Linked DNA regions of Lepisosteus oculatus. The main gene of each other region encodes a partner of the protein of the gene in region 3 in a complex. Links are inferred from orthologs where the notes say so. Each region holds a gene or a part of one and is shown on either strand. Other genes may lie near its edges.

Evidence for each region.
Region 1: meaf6 (region 3) and mbtd1 share a complex: the UniProt entries of both Homo sapiens proteins name them as parts of the nuA4 histone acetyltransferase complex. The link is inferred for Lepisosteus oculatus from reciprocal best matches to the Homo sapiens genes MEAF6 and MBTD1.
Region 2: meaf6 (region 3) and enhancer of polycomb homolog 1 share a complex: the UniProt entries of both Homo sapiens proteins name them as parts of the nuA4 histone acetyltransferase complex. The link is inferred for Lepisosteus oculatus from reciprocal best matches to the Homo sapiens genes MEAF6 and EPC1.

What each region holds. Positions count from the first base shown.
Region 1 is NC_090704.1:33,791,327-33,799,226, reverse strand, and holds the start of mbtd1 (MBT domain-containing protein 1), read right to left. Parts: upstream 3,016-7,900; 5' UTR 2,883-3,015; coding exon 2,853-2,882; intron 1,918-2,852; coding exon 1,716-1,917; intron 1,036-1,715; coding exon 902-1,035; intron 704-901; coding exon 589-703; intron 105-588; coding exon 22-104; intron 1-21. Other genes in the region: spag9b (C-Jun-amino-terminal kinase-interacting protein 4), read left to right, coding at 6,787-7,086. UniProt on the Homo sapiens protein: Chromatin reader component of the NuA4 histone acetyltransferase complex, a multiprotein complex involved in transcriptional activation of select genes principally by acetylation of nucleosomal histones H4 and H2A.
Region 2 is NC_090701.1:39,246,525-39,253,980, reverse strand, and holds the start of enhancer of polycomb homolog 1, read right to left. Parts: upstream 3,016-7,456; 5' UTR 2,723-3,015; coding exon 2,570-2,722; intron 1-2,569. UniProt on the Homo sapiens protein: Component of the NuA4 histone acetyltransferase (HAT) complex, a multiprotein complex involved in transcriptional activation of select genes principally by acetylation of nucleosomal histones H4 and H2A.
Region 3 is NC_090706.1:12,445,086-12,451,911, forward strand, and holds the start of meaf6 (chromatin modification-related protein MEAF6), read right to left. Parts: upstream 3,024-6,826; 5' UTR 2,949-3,023; coding exon 2,859-2,948; intron 1,892-2,858; coding exon 1,776-1,891; intron 1,684-1,775; coding exon 1,596-1,683; intron 1,414-1,595; coding exon 1,368-1,413; intron 1,067-1,367; coding exon 877-1,066; intron 1-876. Other genes in the region: uncharacterized protein, read right to left, coding at 6,023-6,141, 6,402-6,468, 6,797-6,826.

The sequences.
Region 1 (7,900 bases), on a different chromosome or scaffold from region 3:
AGTAGTTTTAATTCTACTTACGTGCTTAAAGCAGCTAACAGGTGCCGCAACAGAGTTATTGCTGCTGATGTAACGACCCCAATCAAACCCCTCCACAGGAACCACTGAAAAGGGCAAGACAAGGACAGAAAGATAAAATATATTCAGTTTATCACTGCTTCAGGTGACTTATTACCAACAGTGCTAATATCCACTCCAGCACCCAATTCCCTAAATATCTTTAATGCATTTTCAAGAAATTGAATCTTTTTGTGTTTTTATAAGAGTCCCACTCAGAAATGGCAAGCTTAAACGGCATTCATTTTCCAAAAGGCAGTGCCCTCTGTGTGCTATGCTTATATTCATCAACCATGTGCTTCCTTTCAGCTACTTCTGGGAGCACTAATAAGAGAGTAATGATCTAGTAATACCACGCACCTACACTATGTACATTACAGAATGCAAAATTCAAATTTCTGCATCAAGGAAGGTGTCATTTATTCTTAGATTCACACATGTAGTAAAATGTAGTAAATGCTAACCACTCTGTGAATATACAAACTCTTACTAGTTAAATAGTCACAGTTACAGGACTTCACTGTCCCTCACCTGTTTTTGATTTAGCTTGGTTTTGTTGGTTTGCCTGGTACTGGGCATATGCTGCTAACTTGGCCATTAGAGGTTGTTTTTGTAAGACTTTTGCCTTTTTTGTAGGTGGTTTACCCTGCAAATAAAAAATATCCAATATTCAATGTTATTAACATATAAAGACATTAATATGTACATTATTTGTAGATTACAATCTTATAAAAGTGAATACAGCTGCTGTTCGTCTGGCTGGTGACTCTAACCTAGGTCTTTTTGCTAACACAAGCACCAAAACAGCTTTCTTTGGGGTCACGTGTAAAATAAAGAACATTACCTGGAGCCTAGCCAGAATGCTGGCCTTCTTTGAGTTAGAGGAATAACTTCTGGAACAAGAGACGCTGCAGAATCGCTTGGTTTTGGAATAAAAGGCATCTCTGACTCCCACCATTCCACACATCTCACAGGTAGCTGAAAGAACAGGCAATTGTGGGTTACATCACACTTACAAGTGGTGGGAACAGTGAGAAACCTTTTAATTGTGCAAACATCCCTGCACGATCCCAGACTGTCGCTGGAAACATTTTTTTCTCAATTTACTCATTAATGTCATGCAGAAAAAAAAAAACAGAACACACCCGATATAATTCAACACAAGCAAATACTGTTAAAATCTGCACAGCTTACTCTGTCATGTGACTTTCCTTTAAACTTGCCTTTTTCTAGTTCTGTTTAGTGATGATGACTCTTCCCAGAGCCCTTGTAACTCACATTTCAGTCTACGGATTACCAGTTGATATATATGTACAGTATATAGCTATGCATTTATTTACACCAGCTATTGAAAGATGTTCTTTTCAACAGAACAGAGAATGAAAGAATGTAAAATAATCACAACTATGATATTTTAAATATAGATAATAAAGCTAAAAAATATTGAAAGAGCAATGAGTAAGTTTGGCCTCTAGTAAAGACAGAATGACTTAACTGCATTTTAAATGGTGGTATGGCGCTATAAAACAAACACCAAACACTCTGTGTGCTGGTGGTATGGCGCTATAAAATAAACACCAAACACTCTGTGTGCTATGCCTTTAATTTGGGTAATTAGACTTGTGTTGTGAGAGGGCAGCGTGAACTTGTGGACTGACCCATGCCAGCTTTGCCATCTGGGTAGGTGTACACCTGCCCATTGTTCTTGATGATGGGCAGGTTGGCAGGTATGGAGGCGACCTCCTCCTCGCTCTCCTCCGAGCTAGAGCTGCTGCTGGTGTCCTCACTGCAGCTGTCATACCCATCATACATCCCGAAGGAGTCCCGCCTCTTCCTGTCTGACCGAGGAGTGTGTTCAGTCTGGGTGAACAAAGACAGGCATTGAAGAGCGCTGGCTGCAGACCTGGCATTTCCTATTGCCTTGGCCTTATGGGTTACAATCAGAAACACAGCAGGCATATTAACCAGCCTGAAAACCAATGTGCACTTAGTGTATTCAGATTAAAAATCTACACCAAAGCTACTGTATGCTGCCTATTTTTCTTTATTTTAAGAGCATGATTCCAGATTGCAAAAACACCTTTCTCAAAATACCAAAGTTTCTATAGTTTCTTTTAAACAAAACTTAACACATGGTGCATTTTAAAGTATAAGAACATGCGAACAGCTGCAAATTCAGCTGCTTCTTGAAGCAGCTCAGACTCTCAGACTCTGGATCTCAACACAGGCCTAGCTAGAATGCTTCTTAAAGGCCCCAACAGCTCTTTGTGTAAAGACATGTTTTCTACTCCCCAATCTAAATGATTGCTCCTTTAGTTTCTAAATGTGATCTATGTTTTATTACAGTCATAATAATTTATTTTCATTACAGAGTCGTAAGTAGTCCTATAAGTTGACCCAATATAAAAACCTCAGAGGCAGATATATTGGATGATATTATCATCCAGGTGGGTGCTGCACATTGGAGGTGGTGGAGGGGAGTCCCCATTACCTGTAAGGTGCTTTTACTGGAGTGTCCAGAAAAGCGCTATATAAATGTAAGTAATTATTATTAATATTAGGATCAAGCCTACTTTATCTAAACTAAACAGACTATGTTCCTTTAACCTGTCTATTAAAATATGTTAAAAAGGAAATAACTTTAGAAAAAAATTATGAGTAATGAAACCACATGTAATGTCATTACACTGTAACCAAAGTTGAATTATATAGATTTTTATTTTTAATTAGTCCACACTAGCGTATTGTCCAGCTTCCCTTGTTTTAAATTTCTCAGGTTTTGCTACATACAGTACCTTGGCATTTTGGTGTCTTGATGAGAACATAGAAGAATCTAGACATCCAGGTCCCTCTCATGAGTAGCAGTTCAGAATCTGCAATGGGGCATGCCTAGAGCATGTTTCTTTTTCCTGAATTGATCCCTTTGCTCTTAACATTACATTTTATTTGGCACACCTCGTATTTTGGAAAGGAGAACATGTTGTGTCAGTATTCAGTTTAGCTGTACAGTGCAAAATCCACTATCTGCTGGAGCTTACTACTGTGACAACTTAATCAATATTTAAAAGATGTTTCTTAGCCTGCATATAAGAAAGTTTATTTTAATGGTATAATGGGTGGCAGCTTTGAACAGTATTCTAAGCACAGAAGAGACTTATTTGATAAATATGATGAACTCCCAAAACAGAATCTCGCTGTTCCAATAAATGCTACTCAAAGACCCAAGATAATAAGAACAGAACTTAAAAAAAACCTTGCAAACATTTTTACAATTATTTCTTCCACTTATTACCATCCAATATTTCCAACTTTCAATGGTAGTGGAAACTTACTACACCCGAAATACACCTAGAAAATCTTTGTATAGGATATGTATTACTGGTCAGTGAGCACCTTACACATAGAAAAACAAATATTTATGGAAATGAAATTTCAATGATCGCTATTCGATTTCATATGCATTTCACAGGATGCAATACATTCTACGGCCGCAAACGACAGTTGTAAGTATTTCAATAAGCTTAACTACTCCAACTGCAGTACACTACGAGTTAAAGGTGACAATAAAAAGATATACCGAGTTTTCGCAAATATTTAAACAAGTCATTTAAAACTTGGTATCATAACATTTCCGGGCTCTAATTTGTAAACATGGCTACGATTTTGAACTCCGGCAGAAATGCTTAAAAATCTCAAGGCAGAGCGAAACTGCTGTGTGACACGGTAACAGCAGAATGGTAACCCGCAACGCTGGTCTACAGAGCAATAAGCAGCTATTTCTCAGCATTTATTTCTTCGGAACTCTAACACCTAGTAACAAGGTGTGTTCGCTGGGGTTTTTATCTGTAATATCAGAAAAACACGTATTTTGAAGGATTTACCCGTTACATACACGAATGACATGGAAGTCTACGTACCAAGTATTTCAAAAAAACAAGGAAGCATTATCTGTGTGTGTGCTTTGAATGCTACTACCACTGCAGTCGTGACGGGCCTGCACGCCTTTTCCACTTCGTCCTGCAAACTAGCGTCTCTGCAATGTGTTTCAGCTAATTCTCGGGTGCTTCACAATCGTTAAAGCCCCGGCAATCCGTCAGCCGAACCTTTGGAAACCTGATTGTTTTACCTAGGCGAATCTGGAGGCCCCTTTTTTCTACTGCTGTTTCTGCTGCAGGCTGACAATCACAACAAAGGAAGAGAAAAACAGGCTTGTTGCACTCCAAAGCACCACGCTCGATCTCCCCGCTCAACTCACCAAATCCCTGGCGTTTTCCATCAGCCCCTCATGCAATGCCGTTTTGTTTTGTGTGTGCAGTTGTAAAATTCCCGAGAAGGAGAAATAGAACAGAAAATCAAACTAAAACCCAAAATATTGAACTCCAGCTGAATATCAACAAAATTATCATATCTGCAGAGCGCAGGCGCAGGGTAAACCCCCTGGTTGCCATTGGTCGGAACGAGGAAATGGTAATCGACACAGTCCTTACACGGAGGATTTTGGCCCCTGGAGGCCACCGTACTACCTGAGGGGGGGAGTCTGTTATCGTTGCTTCAATGGAGCGCACCTGTTCTGCAGGCACCCAAAGACATATCACGAGTTGAACGGAATTATGACACTTCTGTTTTTTATTTGACATCCTTCAAAGAGCTATTGTATCCAAACGAATGAAGCTAGATAGACCTCAGGCAGTTTTTTCACTTGCACTGAACAAAAGCCCACTGATGTTACGAATTGACCCAGCTAAAAGAAATCGTACAACATCTGGGGCGCACCTGCTCGGTACATGAGGAGCGATCGAAAGAAGAGAAGACTCCGACACAGTTTTAAGAAAGCAGAGACCTTGTGATGGAGGCAGTGAATTTACACATGCACGCCGTATACGCTGTATCCCGTATGTGGGGTTCATAGCTTTTGCGTTAAACATTTGAAAACCTAATGTTTATGGTTCGCTCCCAAAACTAAAATGACCTGATTTATTCACACGCAACGTACGAGTTATGTGTGTGTTGTACATTTTGAAATCGTAACACTGTTTTTCAAGATACATACATTTCTTTAGTTCTCTCATCCTGAGTCGATCACGAATTTACAATACCATTCACCCCATTTTACTGTTAAGTCCCGCTTACCAAAGAGGGCAACAGATTTTCCAAAGAGGAATTCTGACATGGGAACATTGGTTTTAAATGTGCACACATTTATTTCAACCAGCTTTTTTACCTTGCAACTTCCAATACAACACGAACTCTTATAACATACTACATATACTTCAACCGTGAAAGTAGAAATACAGCTGCTACTGCACCATTAAATACATACGTTATCAGTAACAAGAACAATAATTAAGCTCGGAACTTTCGACATTTTGCGGCGCACAAAAACGTACCTTTCTAAGCCAACAGATTGCTTTATCGTTCGGTCCAACTAGAGGTCGATTAACTTCTGCTTTGATAGGGACACCTCTGTGTAAACCACTTCTGTGTGCGCGTTTTAATTGAAGACTGAGAGCTGTGTCTTTTCAGCACTTTGTAAAACAGCAGGAGTGTCAGGAAAACATATTTCAAGAGCTTGCTATTGGGATAGTTTGACATATTAAAACAGAACCATGGTAAATTAAAATGTCTGTTTTTTATATAATTTTGTTTTGGTCGTGGTAATACCAACGTCGCAAGGAACAAGTATGAGCTGGTTAAACGAGCAGCAACATTTGAGACCCAGCAGAGGGCGCTGTTTTGTAACATCAAATCAGACTCAGCTTTACCTATAGCAGGTGAGTTGTTAAACGTCTTATGTGCCAGGTAGACGGCACTCTATAAAAATATTTCTTTTTAAAATGCAATGTATTAAATATGATATTGCACATGTTCGTTGGGCATGACATACCAACTTTCAACAATTCAAAAACAAGCACTAACCGCATGTGTAGCACCATATACAGATTCACAAACCTGAACTAAATTAAACATTTTGGCGTCAGATTCCACCTTGTTCTAATATTTAATAATCCAACAGACTTCCTCACTTTCTGCTTTCGATAATATACCACCTCCATTCATCTGAGGGATATATTCTAATCAGAAGTGCAGACATTCGATAAGTTCTTTACTAGTTTAATTAGTTCCTCCAGTGGGTTCTAAATTGGCTATTTCTTTTGAGTTTTACTTATGTTTGTCTTAAAACACATAATGCAAGACTTACCTAGTTAAAAACGAACAAGTCGAATGGTTCAGTGCATTTGAATAAATAAAAACGAATACAGTACTTGGAAGACAATGAAGAAGTGAACGCACAAAAAGATAATTCGATACACTCTGTTCTGTTTGAATATTTCAAAAATATTAATTTCACGACTCGTGCAAAATGAAACTACTAATTAATTAAAGACACCCAGGCGTAATCTTTAAAGAAACGAAAATTGCAGCGCAATATTCCAGCCCTTCCACTCGCAAATCCCAGCCCCGGTTTTAGAATGTGACGTCATCACGTGACGGTCTGGTCAACAACTCAGCTGCACAGGGAGCTGGAGGAGCGGCAGCCAAATAAAACACAAGACATCGCTCCCTTAAAGGGAGGGACTGCAACTTGCCCGGATTCTTTTATTTTTTTATTATTTTTTAATTTTTTTTTAAAGAAGTCCGGCATCTACACAACGTTGAGGAGCAGATAAATTCGTACAAGATAGCAAGAGGTGGAGGGCTGCACCGCATCGGAAAGAGAGAGAGAAGAAAATGGAGTTAGAGGACGGAGTTGTATACCAGGACGACCCGGGGACGGCGGCAATGATGTCGGAGCGGGTGTCGGGCCTGGCCAGCTCCATCTACCGCGAGTTCGAGAGGCTCATCGGCAAGTACGACGAGGACGTGGTGAAGGAGCTGATGCCGCTGGTGGTGGCCGTGCTGGAGAACCTGGACTCCGTCTTCGCCGAGAATCAGGAGCACGAAGTGGAGCTGGAGCTGCTGAAGGAGGACAACGAGCAGCTGATCACTCAGTACGAGAGGGAGAAGGCGCTGAGGAAGCACGCCGAGGAGGTGAGGGGGATTGAGCCGGGAGAAGGGGCGGGGGGTGATCTGTCCCCGCTAGGCCGTTGGCATTATTCATCATATTCCTGCACCGACCCTGTGCCAACCGCCAGCCGCCTCTGGGCCACACACGGTGTACAACACCCCAGGCGTTACCGTGCGCGCATCATGGCATGAGCGATCTGCACTGCACGGTGCGTCCAGAGACCCAGCTAACTGTTACCCTTCTTCCTTAATCCCTTAATCATCGTGCCGTGGCATCGCCCGATTGCATTTTCCTTCTGTCAGCTGCCATAATTCATAATTCAGCTGCCATTAAGTCACAACCCAGCCCACCCCGAAAAAGTAAGTTCGGACGTGCCTTGGGTTTTCCAGAAAACAACTGCACTGCCGTTCTGAGTAAAGACGCTTCACATTCCGCAGGTTGTGGCCGTCGTGCCGAGCCCCTTCGCAGGCAGTTCCTGTGCCCCTGTATAGGTGGTGGCAGAAGCATCGGATTGTTGAACCGGTGACGGGGAGAGTTGACAAGGTTGCGCGCACATTTGCCTTCTTAGGGACCTCCTCGTAGGTTTGGAGGTTGTTGGTTTAGCTGCGGGACTAGATCGTTATTCGTTTATCCGTTTCCGAAGAGAGAGTGGCCTGCTATTTTTAAAGCACAGAGGAAGAAATGGAGAGGGAGGTGCTGTAGTGTATTTTCCTGTAGTAAAATTCCTGGATATACTTATCCATTTTGCATCCCTTTATCTGTCAAGTTCAGCGAGTGCTTTGAAGGTACAAGCTGGCAGTCATTCACAAACGGATCCCACAGGTGTGCTGGTGTATC
Region 2 (7,456 bases), on a different chromosome or scaffold from region 3:
AACAGAAAGAAATCGATTCCTTTCCATCTTGATTTATTAGACTTAAAAAAAAAAGGCTGTTCACCTTCCTCTCACTGCTATTTTTAACGGATCAGATGTCAGCGAGAAGACAAATCAAGGTGATGTGGGCAACATTTAGCAGCCTCTCTTGACTACTACTGGCCACAAGGAACCACACCAGATTAGTAGTTTGCCGTGTTCTGTTAATATATCTGGAGGACAGCAGATATGAAAGACCAAAGTTCGTTTAATGAGAATGACTTAGGAATACAAAATTAGCTCATTAAATCTCCCTTATTTTGGTGGGTCACTGCGTCCCCAGACATCTTCCTAATCAGAAGCCGAACAGTCCCTTTCTGCTTATCCAAACACCCACTGGAATATCACGAAAAATTGAATGGTTTAAATGAGATTTATGGGCAGAGCACGACACTTAGTCTGATCAATAAATTGTGTAATATCAGTAATGCATTCTTATACATATACACAGCATAAATCAACACGGCTTTTAATTAACTCACCTGTTGCTAACAATTTTGACAATGGATTACAGTGCTTTGACAGATGCATCCAATTTCTAATTTTCGGTTCTTGATCCTAAACAGTGTAACAATTAACAGGGCAACTATCAAACTTGTCATTCCTCATCATTAAATGCTCTTCCCTCCTATTTCAACCCTAAACAAAACAGTTTGTATTACAACACCATAGAGAAAACCAAGTTAAAACGTTAGTGTGTACAATAACCATGGAAATGTCCACAAAGACATCAACCATCACATATGCAAATGTGATATTGATTAAATGCAAGAGAAGGAACTTAAAATCTCCACAGAGAAGGGCACTGGAAGAATATATTGTTAGAGTTAAAAAACAGCACGTTCGGGTACGGATTCCCCACAAAGAGGTAAAAATCAGACAGGGGTATCTTCCTAATCTCTCTCTTAGCACGCAGCCCTTCAAAGTCAAGTTTTGTCGTTTACAACTGAAATAGGAGCTGCAAACCCAGCGCTCTGCCTGCTTACAGAGTTCAGCAGAAGACTTCACCCACTGACATCTCACCTCACTGGCGCCAACAGTTCAAAGGCGAACTGACATTTGCAACGAAGGTGACAGTGTAGATCTGCGGTTAGGACTTACTAGAAAGTCCGGTAAAGTGGTTTAGAGAGGCGTCTCCATACTATTGCAAAAAAAAAACGATAGCCTGCTTTAACCTCACAATTTAACTTATTCGCACAGATGCTACTGCTGCGTTTGTAAAACATTCACCATACCCGACCGGCTTCTACACAAGCTTTCCCTCTTGGCATTCAAAGCTGCAGAACGAAGCGAAGAAACTACCAGCCTAGATTTAGGACTATCCGTTTCTTCATTCAATCGGCAACTCAAGCGTGAGAGGCTTAAATCAATCGCCAAACTTAACGCAAATGGAGGAAGTGTGGATAACGGCCACGGAGTAGGAAGAGATATGGTGTTCGGAAATAATGGAAAACTTCAGACCTACTCTCGAGGCGATAATGCAGATTTAACTGGGACTGGGGAGAGGGGGGGGGTAATTTACGGTTTTAGGACTAAGGCAAAACTGGGTCAGTTTTGCGTCACGCCTCCTGACGAGCTGTATCAACACAGCCGCGCAAGCACGGCAGCCGAGCAGGCGTGAGCACACCTCAGCCGGAATCAGACCGGTCATGTCCATTTTCTGCCAAACGGAGGGAAGTCTCCTCATTGGCAGCCCGGCAGTGCCCGCTGCCCAGCTCCGTGCGAGGCACAGCCGAAGACGAAAGAAAACAAAAACACCCTTCACGTACACAAGCTGTACATTCGTTTACGGAAACCTCCGCGACTTGCTCAGCTGCCGTGTCTCTAGAAAACACTGAAAGACAAATGGGCAGATCGCAAACTTAAACACGAACAGCGTGACCCCATCGCAAACTCTTGTCAGCGCCAACAACTCAGAACGCGTACGACGCTGTTAAAAAATACTTCTGGTACTACTCCATTTCAGAAACAGTTCATGTCGTGAAGCAAAAAAAAACGAGTCTAGAGAATGCAGAAAACGGCTTCCTTCTGCGTCAAAACCAACGTGAGCACAGGCAGTCGGACCTGCGTTCCCAGCCGACAGCGCTCTTGTTTATGTTGTAGTATCCCATGTGTACTCAGACTGAGGGGGGGGGTGTGGGCTGCCAGCTCTCGCGCGCCCCCTCGCACCGGGCCGCGGCTCCTGCAGCGACACGAGGCCCAGCCCAGCGCGAGGAGAAAGTCAGCGAAATGGCGGATTCGCCTCGAGTCACGTGACCCCTTTGTGCCGTGCAACCCTTTTCCCGGGTTAACGGGCCCCGACAACCGAACCCAACAACACCATCTGCAACCAGCGCCGTCTTATATTTGTATATACTGCACCAAATCCTGCTTAGGACGCGAGCAAAACCCCGAACCAAGCCGCCTTTCTGGAACGAGAATATGGCGGCCATTTTGTGCAAGCTTGCGCAGACAAGATAGGGGCGCCCCTTCATGCTGCCGAAACCTGGACATTTTACCAAGAATAGGTTTTCGGAACTGCAAAACGTACCGATTCCTCCTCTTTTTCCATCCCAGTTGGCATCTGCGGCACTGCCCGGTTAATAGAGGCATATTCATGCAGGTCGGGTAAGTCCTCGCAGCGGAAGACAGGTAGTGGCTTGGAAGCGTCCAGCGCCCGTGCCCGAAACGACAATTTACTCATTTTTTATATTTCGAGATGCAGCATAAATCTATCCGATCCCCTAAAATTCACAACTGTCCCGGTTTGAGCTCTCATGGATGTGTCTGTGTCGTTCTCCAGTCGTCTACCGTTCGATTGGTTAAAAAAAATACAAACGGCGAGGCGAACGGAGCCGGGAAGGCCCGGATCTTGGTCGCTCTCTTTCGGTCTCTTTTTTTCAGTCGCTCCGCTCTCTCTCCCTGGTTCAATACGCCATGGCCAACATGGCGGACATTAAAAACTCTTTAACTCTCCGGTAGCTGCTGGCGGCCCAGCCCCCCGATCAGCGCACAGCCATTCCCGCACGGCCCCGCGCGCGTGCGCGCTCGCGGCGCCCGGAGGGGAGGAGGAGGCGGCAACATGGGGGAGGGGAGCGCTCGCAACGCCGAAATAAACAGCACCGAGGAGCCGCGGCCCCCCCCCTCCCCGCCCCATTCTTCTTTCCTCCGCGCACTCTTGACAGGCAGCGCGCAGCAGCAGCAGCAGCTCTCGCAGCCTCCATCCGCACTACACGGCGTGTGTGTTGCGCCGACATGGGACGCGCTACCCGCGACTTAAAGGCGCACTCGCCCCCTGGTCTGTGGCTGAATGGGGGTTAACACGGGATAAACTACAGACCCGAGAGGATAGAGAAGTTGAATTTCCACCAACACTGTACAGTCTACAACTACGTTCTCATCTTAACGGAAGAACAGGTTTCTATTGGTAATGAAATGTGCGGTAGATAAAAACTACAGGTAAAAACGTAATATGCATCAACACTGAGGCAGTTTCTAAGTTTAGTTTCCTCCCAATATTGTAAGTAAGACATCCTACGGTTTACTGCAAGCTTAATTTTTTTTTTAAGTCTTCCGTGTGCCATCAGAGTTACAGGTATTTGATCATTGGCGTTTAACTCCAAGGCTGCCTGCTACCGATTTCTTGTTGGACGCCTCCAGTTGAATCTCCACAATCTTGGAAAATGTCGCCCTCTTTTGAAAAGAAAATGAATCGCATGGTACAGTAAGTAAGCGAACCCAGGGAAGTTTGCTCTATACTGTCTGAGAGTTTCTAAGTAAAAGGAATCAACAGCTTTGTAAAGGACAATCAAAACAAATCAGTCTTTACAAGACCAATGGAAAAAAAAAAGTTAAGAGCACTTAAAAACTAAATCATGCCCACAAGAAGGAAAAAATACCAAATTGATCTCGAAAAACTTAAGGCTTAATAACACATTTAGAAAACTAAAACCATCGGTGGCTAACCTAATTAAAATCAAACTTTCATCCACAAATTGTATTAGCCTGAGATTTAAACAATGACACTACTGAAGAGTTTAATTAGATTAAATGCATCATCAAACCATTGATCTTTTTGTCCCTTTTGAAGTTGTGATCAGCAAAAGCTAGTACATTTTCAATTAAACTCCAGTTAAATTCACAGAAACACAGGGTGGCGATTAAATTCCACCAATGGCACTCCCAGAATGTTTATACTTCTGCTAAATAATATTAAAACTGACAGCTAGACATCTTTTTTTTCTAGTGATAAATTTCATTGAATCCTTTATTTTACCAGATAAGAAAATTAAAATGACACTGCCATGGTCTGCAATGTGAACAAGTGCAGGAATTAAGGATTTACACCATTTAACTGAACACTCACATCTAAAGATGGACAGTTTCAACCTCTGCAAAAGGTCCCAGGCACTGGCAGCAGCAAGCAAAGTGCCCGTCCCCAAAACGGTAGGTCTACATGGAAAATGAATCCAATAATAGCATTAGCTCAGTGATAGGCAGTAAGATGGCACAGAGGTGCAAAAAAATAAAAAGGAAGGGTTTTCCACAAATTACAGATTGGGGGATTTTAACAGGAGAGCCTGCCTCGTATGCCAAGAGAAATACATTAAAAGAGTAAAGATCACAGAGATGAGTGTGACATGAGGCACCAGTGATATATCTTAAGTCAAAAGGGGTAAAAATCAGCAAGTTCCTCAAAGAATATTATCAGATGCCACTAAGCAGGTATTACCTAGTCCAAGATTGGGCATACAGACATTTAAAGTAGTGGACACTTTCATCTAGGTATACAACTATTTGTTGCGATACAGAAACTACGTTTGTACCTATCATTTTACTTTAGTAGTTTTCCAATTTAAACCAATGTACTGTCATCTTTATTTTAAGTGTACCTTTTTTATGCTCCATGACTAGAGCTTTAAACAACATCTAGGGAAATATTTATTCATCCTTTCTCACCTCTCCCTTTTCATCCGCACATTTTTGTCATTCTTGCTCCCACTCTTTTGACTTGGGGCTCAGCTCTCTTCCTCATCTACACCCTATTCCTGAAGAAGGCTCCACTTACAAAGCATCTCTTACAAGGAGAAAAGTGTAAAGATGGTAGATATCCTATTTCTAAAACACTTTTTTCCCCTTGAATTCTGGTGTGGATATGTATAATAACGTCAGAAGTGCAAAGATGCTACAACACGATTTCCTTCGATTAGTGAAATTTTAACTGCAATCCCTTAGCATGATTACGGTTCCACTCATCTAAAGGCTGGAAATGTTATAATCAAAACAACAAAGAGTCCTTTAATTAAAGTTTATTCTATTTAGGTTTAAGGTGGGTTAAAATATAAAAGCCAGATTGGATCTATTGCTCCTGGAAGCAAGTATACAAGAGATCCTGGCAACAGTCATGGTGCAATCAGATAAAACAGGATATGTTCAGTTGCAAATGTACTTCCTTTAAAGCTAAGTTAGACCATTTCCCCTGTAGAACTAGGAAGTTGCACAAAATCTAGTGTTCTAATTCTTATCGGTTAGAATCATTTCTCCAGTACCACCAGCTGTTGAGGCTCCCAAACTAGTAAATAACCGCACAGCTTTGAGAAAGAATAAATCCAGGCCTGACAGGTACCAAGCAAAATGACAAATCCACATTTCGGGGGAAAAAACTGCCATATTTAACAAATGAACCATAGATACCATCTGCTACCTATCAGCTGGTCAGCAACACTACAGCCTGCACCTAACTGCTTTCTTAGACACTGTGAACAGTGTACAAGTGGCTACAAACCCAACTCTTTGATTAACATACACACAACTTTAATGTAAAAGCCAGAAGGCATTTGAGATCAAGAAATGTATCCCATCTTCTAACTGGGTTTTCAGTAACTTGTTAGTATTATAACTGCAGAGATCTGTGCTAACACTACTATACTACTACTTGCTCTAAATGTGAATGTACTCTGAATAGTTATTCAGAATAACTCCTAATTACTTAAGACTTTTTCACTGAGTACTAAAGACATTCTTGTAGCAAATGATGCTGGTCAGATGACAAATATAGCCCTCAAGTCTTACGAATGATGAATAGCCCATTTTTGTACAATGCTAGCTATTTAATACCATAATTTATATATTGATTAGTTCCAGTATTATTTAACAGTCTTACTGTTTTGTGGAATTGAGAACACAAATATGTGAGACATCACGGGGGTTAATGAATGGAGCACATGGTTTAAAAACAAAAACAAAAATTGTATCAAATGTTATAAACCAGGCGTGAGTATTCCTCATTCTGGAGGCTGATTTATCTATACATTTTCTTTTGAGTACATCATCTATTAACCTAAATCAGCTAATTATGGTGTAATGGGACAATTTAACAAAAATATTTAGTTTTTCCATGTGCTCTTGCTCTAATAAGACCTAGAAAACCTACAGTCACTGACTCTGCAAGACCAGGATTGTCCAGCTTCTTTTTAAACTGAACCTCGGACAAAATGACTAGTACAAATGCACAGGTCTGTTTTTTTTAACCATACCAAGGTCTGTTGTACTGTATATTATAAAATGAAAAGATAACTAATCTCCAGGGTGTGACGCACTAGAATCACATCACACCTGAGGTGTTGGATGTTCTTGACCAGCAGCTTCTTGTCCAGCCATCCCAGGTGTGATGTTACCTTATCCCAACACAAACCTTATCGTACACTATTCCTTTACCACCACATATATCTCCTCCATTCATTGTGATGCTTACTTCAGCTGAAAATCAAACAGCCACATAAGCAAGGCATCTATACCAACTTTAATATTTAAGCCCCAATGTTCTTGGGGGCTGACTAGTTCTTGTGATCAGGGATGATGCCCCCTACCAACCTCCAATCACCACCCTGCTATTAGAAAGCCCCTTCTCCTAGAAGCACAGGCAGCAAGGTGGAGCACACCCACACTCTGCACCCGGGCAAGACGCCAGCCAATCACAGGATGAATCAGAATACCCCATGAAGCCAAGCTGGCACATCTCTGGGAGGTGGGAAGAAACCGCAGCACCTGGCAAACACCCCAGTATATGGGCAGAATGTGCCGACTCCACACATGCAGGGCTGGATGAAGGCCCTATCCGAGTGGGAACATACCTAGGGCTCGTCCTCCAAGAAAGCAAAAGTTTAAGCTCCATGTACAATGGAAGACTTTTTTTTTTATGATGCAGCTGTCATTTACTATATTCTGGGAGTGCCTAAATCAGTAGCAACAGACGTACACAACGATGAACCATGCACTATTTTCTGATGCATGACAAGGATGCACCAGGTTGGTGAATTGCGTTGTTAACATCAATGACGGATAAAAGAAAAACACCCGTGAGGCATTGGGGATGAAGAAAAAGCTACAGATGGAAGTACAGCACCCAAGCTGGTTATAAGCGCACAAGATGGAGAAG
Region 3 (6,826 bases):
TAGAGTTTCGGATAAGAGAAACAAAAGGTATTTAAGTTAAGGATCACTAGTAAGTCGTTAATTTATTTGTTAAATCATCTCCTCAACTGTATACTGTAACAACAATGTACATCTATGTATTTATCATATTCACTGGCCAAAATATTATGAACCCCTAGTTAAAGGAGTATGCACTTGGTCTCAGGACATGCATGGCTATACCCACTGGCCAGGGCAATGCCCAGATGTAAAAAGGGCTGGTGCATTATAATCCCACGCTTCAGTCTGACAATCCTGGCTGAAGGCAAAGCAGGTGAAGAATGGGATACCGGACAAGATCAGAATACATGCCATGTCTTGTTCAAGCAGATTTTAATGTTAGCAGGGTTCACACAGCAGAGTTGAATGCCTGGTGGATGGCATTGTTTGGGGGTTCCTAATACTTTGACCCATGTGCGTTTTTGTTCAGAACCTTTGCCAGTACTTATACGTCAAATTATTTCAGCAAGTAATTCAACATTCAACTAATCCTCTGACTGCTTACAGTAGGGGTGAAGGTCATGTCTTGCTGCAAATAATTTTAAGAACATATAAAATTTACATGAAAAAAAGACTTCGCAATTTTGGTTTTGAAGCATTCATAGAACACACTGAATACTACGTTTTCAAACGTAAAAAATAAATATGCTCAAATTATTGCCAAATGTCTGTGACAAAGTTAAAGTCTGCGCTTTCTAAACAATTAAATAATTCTGACAGAAAGTTTTAGCTCTTTCTCCACACTCTCCCTGCATGACCTTTGCGAAACCGGTCTCACTGTGCAAAAGCTCCATTACAATGATCACATTAACTGTAGCTTAAGTGAAACAAAAGTTTTAACACATCACAAGTGGATACCTGTGCCGGTTTTTGTTTTTCCTCTTCTTGTGGTTGCCATGGTGACTGCCAGAAGAGGACGAGGCAGCCTTCTGGGGCTTCATCCCCTGCAAGGGCCCATCCATATCCTCCGTGTCCTCCTGGCTGGGCTCGTTCTCCTGGTTCTGGAAATCCGGGGAATTGTCACTCTCCGTTCCACTGCCTGGCTCCCCTGATGGGAGAAAATTAAGGAAATCCTTACTGTGAAGCAGCAATGCACATCACCACACCACAGGGGCTCCCATGACATTTACAGGGCAAGACAAATTCCTCTGGAACCCGGAAAAGAGCTTCACAGAATTACTGCTGGCTGGTCTGACAGAAATCAAATAGGAACGATCTAGACTTATCTAACTTGTAGCTGTGCATTTTGTGTTAATGAAAATGACAAATATCCTTGATGTCTACCGAGTCGTGTTTACAGATAGGAATGATGACTGTGAAGAGCACAAGGACAGAAATATAATGCCTACTTTTTTCTATAAGTTGGTCCTGTATTCCTCCTAGAGCACTAACCGCCTGGAAAAGAAACAGGGACAACAAACGTTAAAAGCATGAAATGTTAAGAACTCAAACAAATTCCATCACTTTATTTCACAAGAGGCTTAACATCTCGTCAATATATGAAGTATGTTCCATCTACGTTTAAAGAAACCTGACGAGTTTGCTAACTTCATATGAAATACAAGCGTTTAACTTACTGCGACGGATGTGACAGATGATTTGCTAAAGAGCCGCTCTGCTTCTTTGAACTTTCTGTTCCTTCTGTCATTTTTGCTGTTGGAATTTCTGCAACAGAGGTTAAAAGGTATTAAAAAAGTGACGCAAAGCCAAGCTTAGCACAAAATCGCTATCGGAAGAAAGACTTGAACCGATCTTACTTCTGGTTGGTTAGGTACCGATCCCATCCTCTTATGATGTTGCCATACATTTGAGTGTCTTCCAGGTAGCTGCCTTCAAACGCATAGATTTGTCTCTCCAGGTTCGCCAGCGTCTCCTGCAGGATCGGGGCGGGAAATGAGCGCCAGCTAATGTGCGTCTTACAATTCCACAGCAACCCTCCAGCGGGGCAATATAAGCTAAGGGCTACTGAAATCCACGCAATGTCGTTATATTTGGGGTTGGGTGTAAGCAGAAGATAACATTCCTCGGGAGAAGGGTTTCCTCTCTCGTCTAGCGTGTTTGATTGTTAGCAGGCTGTTGATCCGACCTCATCCTGTCGTTTATTGAAAGAATCCAAGGTATCGGGTTTGACAACGCGACTAGAGAGCCATTCAATGTTGCATAATTCTAAAAAGATCTGGAATTTCTCATGTAACAAGATTCCTCGTCGTTCATTCGTCTGTGACATGATGCATTAGTCGCTATGAAGTGCTATTTCATTTATGCACCAAGGTAACTAGTTTACATTGAGGTAAATGCCGTGTTATACTTAAAATTGTCAGGATGATGCGATATCAAATGATGCCGACCTCATTACCACACACACCAAGCAAAGCTGCTATATCCGATGCTAACATCACCTTACTATGTATCGTAACAACTAAATTCCCAAATTGAATGCTTGAAGTCATCGTTTAATCTGCTGAAAGCCGTTAATTATTTCTTAAACAAGCCTACATCCAAAGCACAGAACCGAGACTTGAGTCCCCTTCCTTCACGCCAGGAACTAACATTAGCGGTGTAGAAAAGGCCTCTAAGCCTTACAATAAACGGATTTTCCTAAATCTGCTAACCGGAGTGCACGGCCTCTACACCCGGCACTTCTTTGGCACAAGACGGAGCTGCTATTCACTAAGGTCGGTTACGTACGTTCCTCAAACGAACGCAATACAAGTGCAGCAACATACGCCTGTAAACATGACGTTTTGCTTAGAACACTCTAGCAAAATTACACATTTACCCAGATCAATGGCGACTCGAAAAACGGTTTAAAAGACGGTAATGTAAAAAAAAGGATTTACCGCGAGCTCCTGTTTCCTCTTCACCAGCTCCGACAGCTCCCTGCGTGTATCTGGAATCTGCGGAGGAGTTACTTTGGTGTGCATCGCCATGTTGGATTTTCGGAGCGGATAGGAGAAACAAAGCGCGTAACGGCAGCAAAACGCCCGACACTACCTGTGCTGTGACGAATTAACCACAAGGGGGCGTTCCACCTGCGAACACGTGAGTATCTACGTCAGATCTGGCTGATGGTCACACCTTCGATTAAGAGAAAACCATTCATTATTCCTGCACCCGCAGATATTTACATTAAAAACTATCACTAAACGGTAGAATATTATCATTACAAACAGTTAACAAAATAAAATGACTAAAATGTTTTTTCATCTTTCCCTTTATTCATTTTCATCCAAATCGCATTGTTCTTAATTCTCAGCTGAAAGCGTGATTTCCTTTATGGTCTTTATTCACGTCAGGTTCTTTTCATGACTGCTTTGTATACTCTTTATACAGTATTTCATTTTGTCTGAAACTATTCATAGATTGTTCTTGCAGATTAAAAATAGCCTAAAATTCATTTACATTTATTCTTCTTGAGAATACGTGATTGTTCCTTCTCCTTACCTAATGTAAATCTCATATGTAGTATCTCAATCTGGATGACTGCTAAGAAATAAATACATATACAATCAGACGTCAAGTCTCAATAGTTCTTCTCAATGTTGTATTTAAGACTCAATGTCACAGGTAAGTTTCACACTTGGGAAGAGCAGAAACTTTCACCTGTGAGTGCATTTATACTCTTTTTTTACTTATTCCTATAATGCTACATTGCTCAGTCAAAGACTACCCACCCAGTAAAAATACCTTTATCATGCTGGAATTCTGGAAATCTATGTTTCAAGTGTAAAGATACCAAGATTTTCTAATGGCAAATGCATTATTTATTAAATTTTTGCTTTTTAGGTAGTTTTGGCATATATTACGAAACTTGTTATTTGAGAATCGTAAAAAAAAAGTTTGGGAAGTAAGATAGGAATACACATAAAAGATAAAACAGTAAGATCAAAATGTTCGTGAGGGTTAAGTACCTTGAATTTTCTGTATACAGTAGATGTAAAAATTGGGTCAACACTTAATAGCTCTTGTAAACCAACCCCTAAACTGACCTGAAACGCATGCTTGTATCAAAACCATCCATTCCACAGATTGAAAATGTACCTAAAGAAGACACATTATTGAAGAATACAAGTCTCCAATGGCCTTTTTCAGTGGTTTGGTTTGGTTAAGACTCATATTTTTTGGTTTGGGAAACATTTTCAAATCTGATGACTGAAGGGCTTTAAGAACAAATTGCAGGATTGCTTTGTTGAAACCCCAGCTAGGGTTAGGGTTAGCATTCCCACACGTCTTAGACAGTGAAAATTTGCTCATTTAAGCACTTTTTTTTCAGAGACTTTGGGCTTCTTATATTGTATAATGGCCAGTTCTGTGGCCGTAGTCCAATAGTGGAGCAGGGTGCGGAGGAACACAGTTGGGAAGGAGCAGGCCTGTGCTAGTTGGGCCCTGATGCCATTTTTGACTGTCTGATTCAGTCGTTCACCCCACTGATTGCCGTTGGGTTGTATAAGGCCCTTACGAGTGTGTCGTATGTCCTGGTCAGCCAAACTCAGTGGACACAAATGGCGGCCCATTGTCGTTGGTGATGTTGGTTGGAAAACCAGAGTGGGCAGAGGGGGAATCCAGGAAGTCAATGACTGCCTGAGTGGTGACCGATCTAGTGGAGGCCACTTCCAGTCATTTCAAGAGCAAATTAGAAACCATGATGAAGAAACTGTGATGGGGAAAGACACCATGCAGCTCCCCACAGATGTCCAGCTGGAGAAGATCCCAGGGCTCGGATGGCCAGTCTGGGGGCTGGAGAGGATGTGGTGCGGGGCTCTCTGTTTTCCTACTTCCTACTGTCCCAGGAGGAAGGCTTCACAGTACCTGACAAGTGTTTCGATGTCTCTGTCATTTCCTGGCCACAAAACCAGATCCAGACACTGCTGTTTGACTTTGACTATTCCCAAGTGGCCCTCGTGTGCCATCTGCAACACTCGCACCTAAAGGCAGGCAGGAATAACAGCACAGGTGCCCCAAATGACACATGACTCATTCCAGCAGGAGAGCTCATCTTTAACATGATGGAAGGGGCTCAGGTCAGTGGAGACCTTGGAGGGCCACTCCGAGTATATGGAAGTGTGGAGCTGGGAAAGAACTGGGTCCTGTCCTGAGGTCTGCTGAAGTTCCTGAAGAGAGGCTGTGGCTTAGGGTGGCCAGTGCCTGTTGTAGAGAGCAGTGTTGTAAGTGCCTGGTGGTCTGTCTGCATGTATGGCCAGGTACATGTCCCACCTTTCATGTGCCCAAACGCAGGCTAAGACCTCTCTCTCACCCACGAGCACTTCTGTCTTGTCGTGCAGAGAACCCGGGAGGGAGTGAGCCATCAAGACCCACTTTGTGCCAGACCCCGGTATCCCCATATTACCACGACAGTGTCACATGAACCAACACTGCATGTCGACATAACAGGTAAGTAATCCTGTGTTAAAATTGCTCATTAATATAACTGCGATCAGTGGTGAGAGAACCATTTTCTTTATGTTTCAAATTGTCCCACACCTGGGCTGCTATCTGCCTGGCTTTTACTCATGTTCTCTCTGTGTTCACATGAGTTTCCTACCGCAATACAAAGGCATGCTTTAGTGTCACACATGGTGAACCTTCAATGCAGAAACCTTGATTGCTTTTATAGCCAACTACGCCTTCTAACAATTTTAAAGGATGTTAGGACCCTTTTCTCTTGCAAAAGGATAGATATATATCTCCCAGAACCAAGACTGCACCAACAAACCACACAAGACAGTCATACTTCATAAATCCCTTTTTATTACGTACCAATTACAATATATATTACTGCCTACCCAACACAGTATACACCATGTACGGATCATTGTAAGCTGCTTCAAACATCTGGTTGAAAGATTGTCCTTAATGACTCTGGTCATGCTGATGACGTTGGGCCATTGACTCCTGCTGCCTCACACCCATTCTTTCATTCCGTGACTTTAAATTTTAAAAATGGATTTTGTTTCCTAAAAATGCTAAAATATTGTATATATTAAAATACGACTTCTTGTGAAGATCAATCATCCAACACTGGCTTCACACAAACCAGTTTCCTCATTGCCTGTGAGAATAATTTAAAGACGTTTTTACGTTTCTTCTTGGACTTTTTAGTTTCCACTGCAGGAGATGGAGAATCTGAAAAGAGAGAGCAGAACATTTCTTCCATATTAACATTTTGCTCAATAGAAAGCTTGAGTGTTTATGCTGAAAATAAAAAAATCATTAATGCACTTTAAAAACATCAGTTCACTCATTCAGTTGTTATAGTGTTGTTAAGTTCCACAATAACAACATCGATTTTTAAACAAAAAGAGAACATTCCATAGAATGATGAGCAATCTCCATTTATCTGTAAATGACCGGGTGGAACATGCTATCATTTCTGGGGGACTCACCTGCTTGGTGGCCCTCAGCCTCACTATATTGTGTTCCTTTATCAAGGCTCAGAGATTTCTGGCTGGCCTGTGTATAGACAAAGAACATGAGGTTAGATTATTCCAACACAAGCAATACCAGGAAAAGCTCTTTGTATTAAGTTCCTACCCAAAAGTCCTCAATACTACGGGGCTATGCATCAGTTACTGGGGTGTGCCATTTGGGTAGTTAAGTAGAGAAATGTAAAACTTCAAAAACTTTTTTATACTGTGTCTGCAGCTTCTCCACATGCTGCCAACAAAATGTTATAGTCCTTTTTAAAGTTCAGATCATCATAAACTTTCTGAGGAACAGCCTATTGTATCCGAAGGATGGCTTGTGCACAAGGGCAAAGAAAAACAATGACTGTGCTTACCTTTTTGGCCTCCTCCTTCATTTTTCCAGG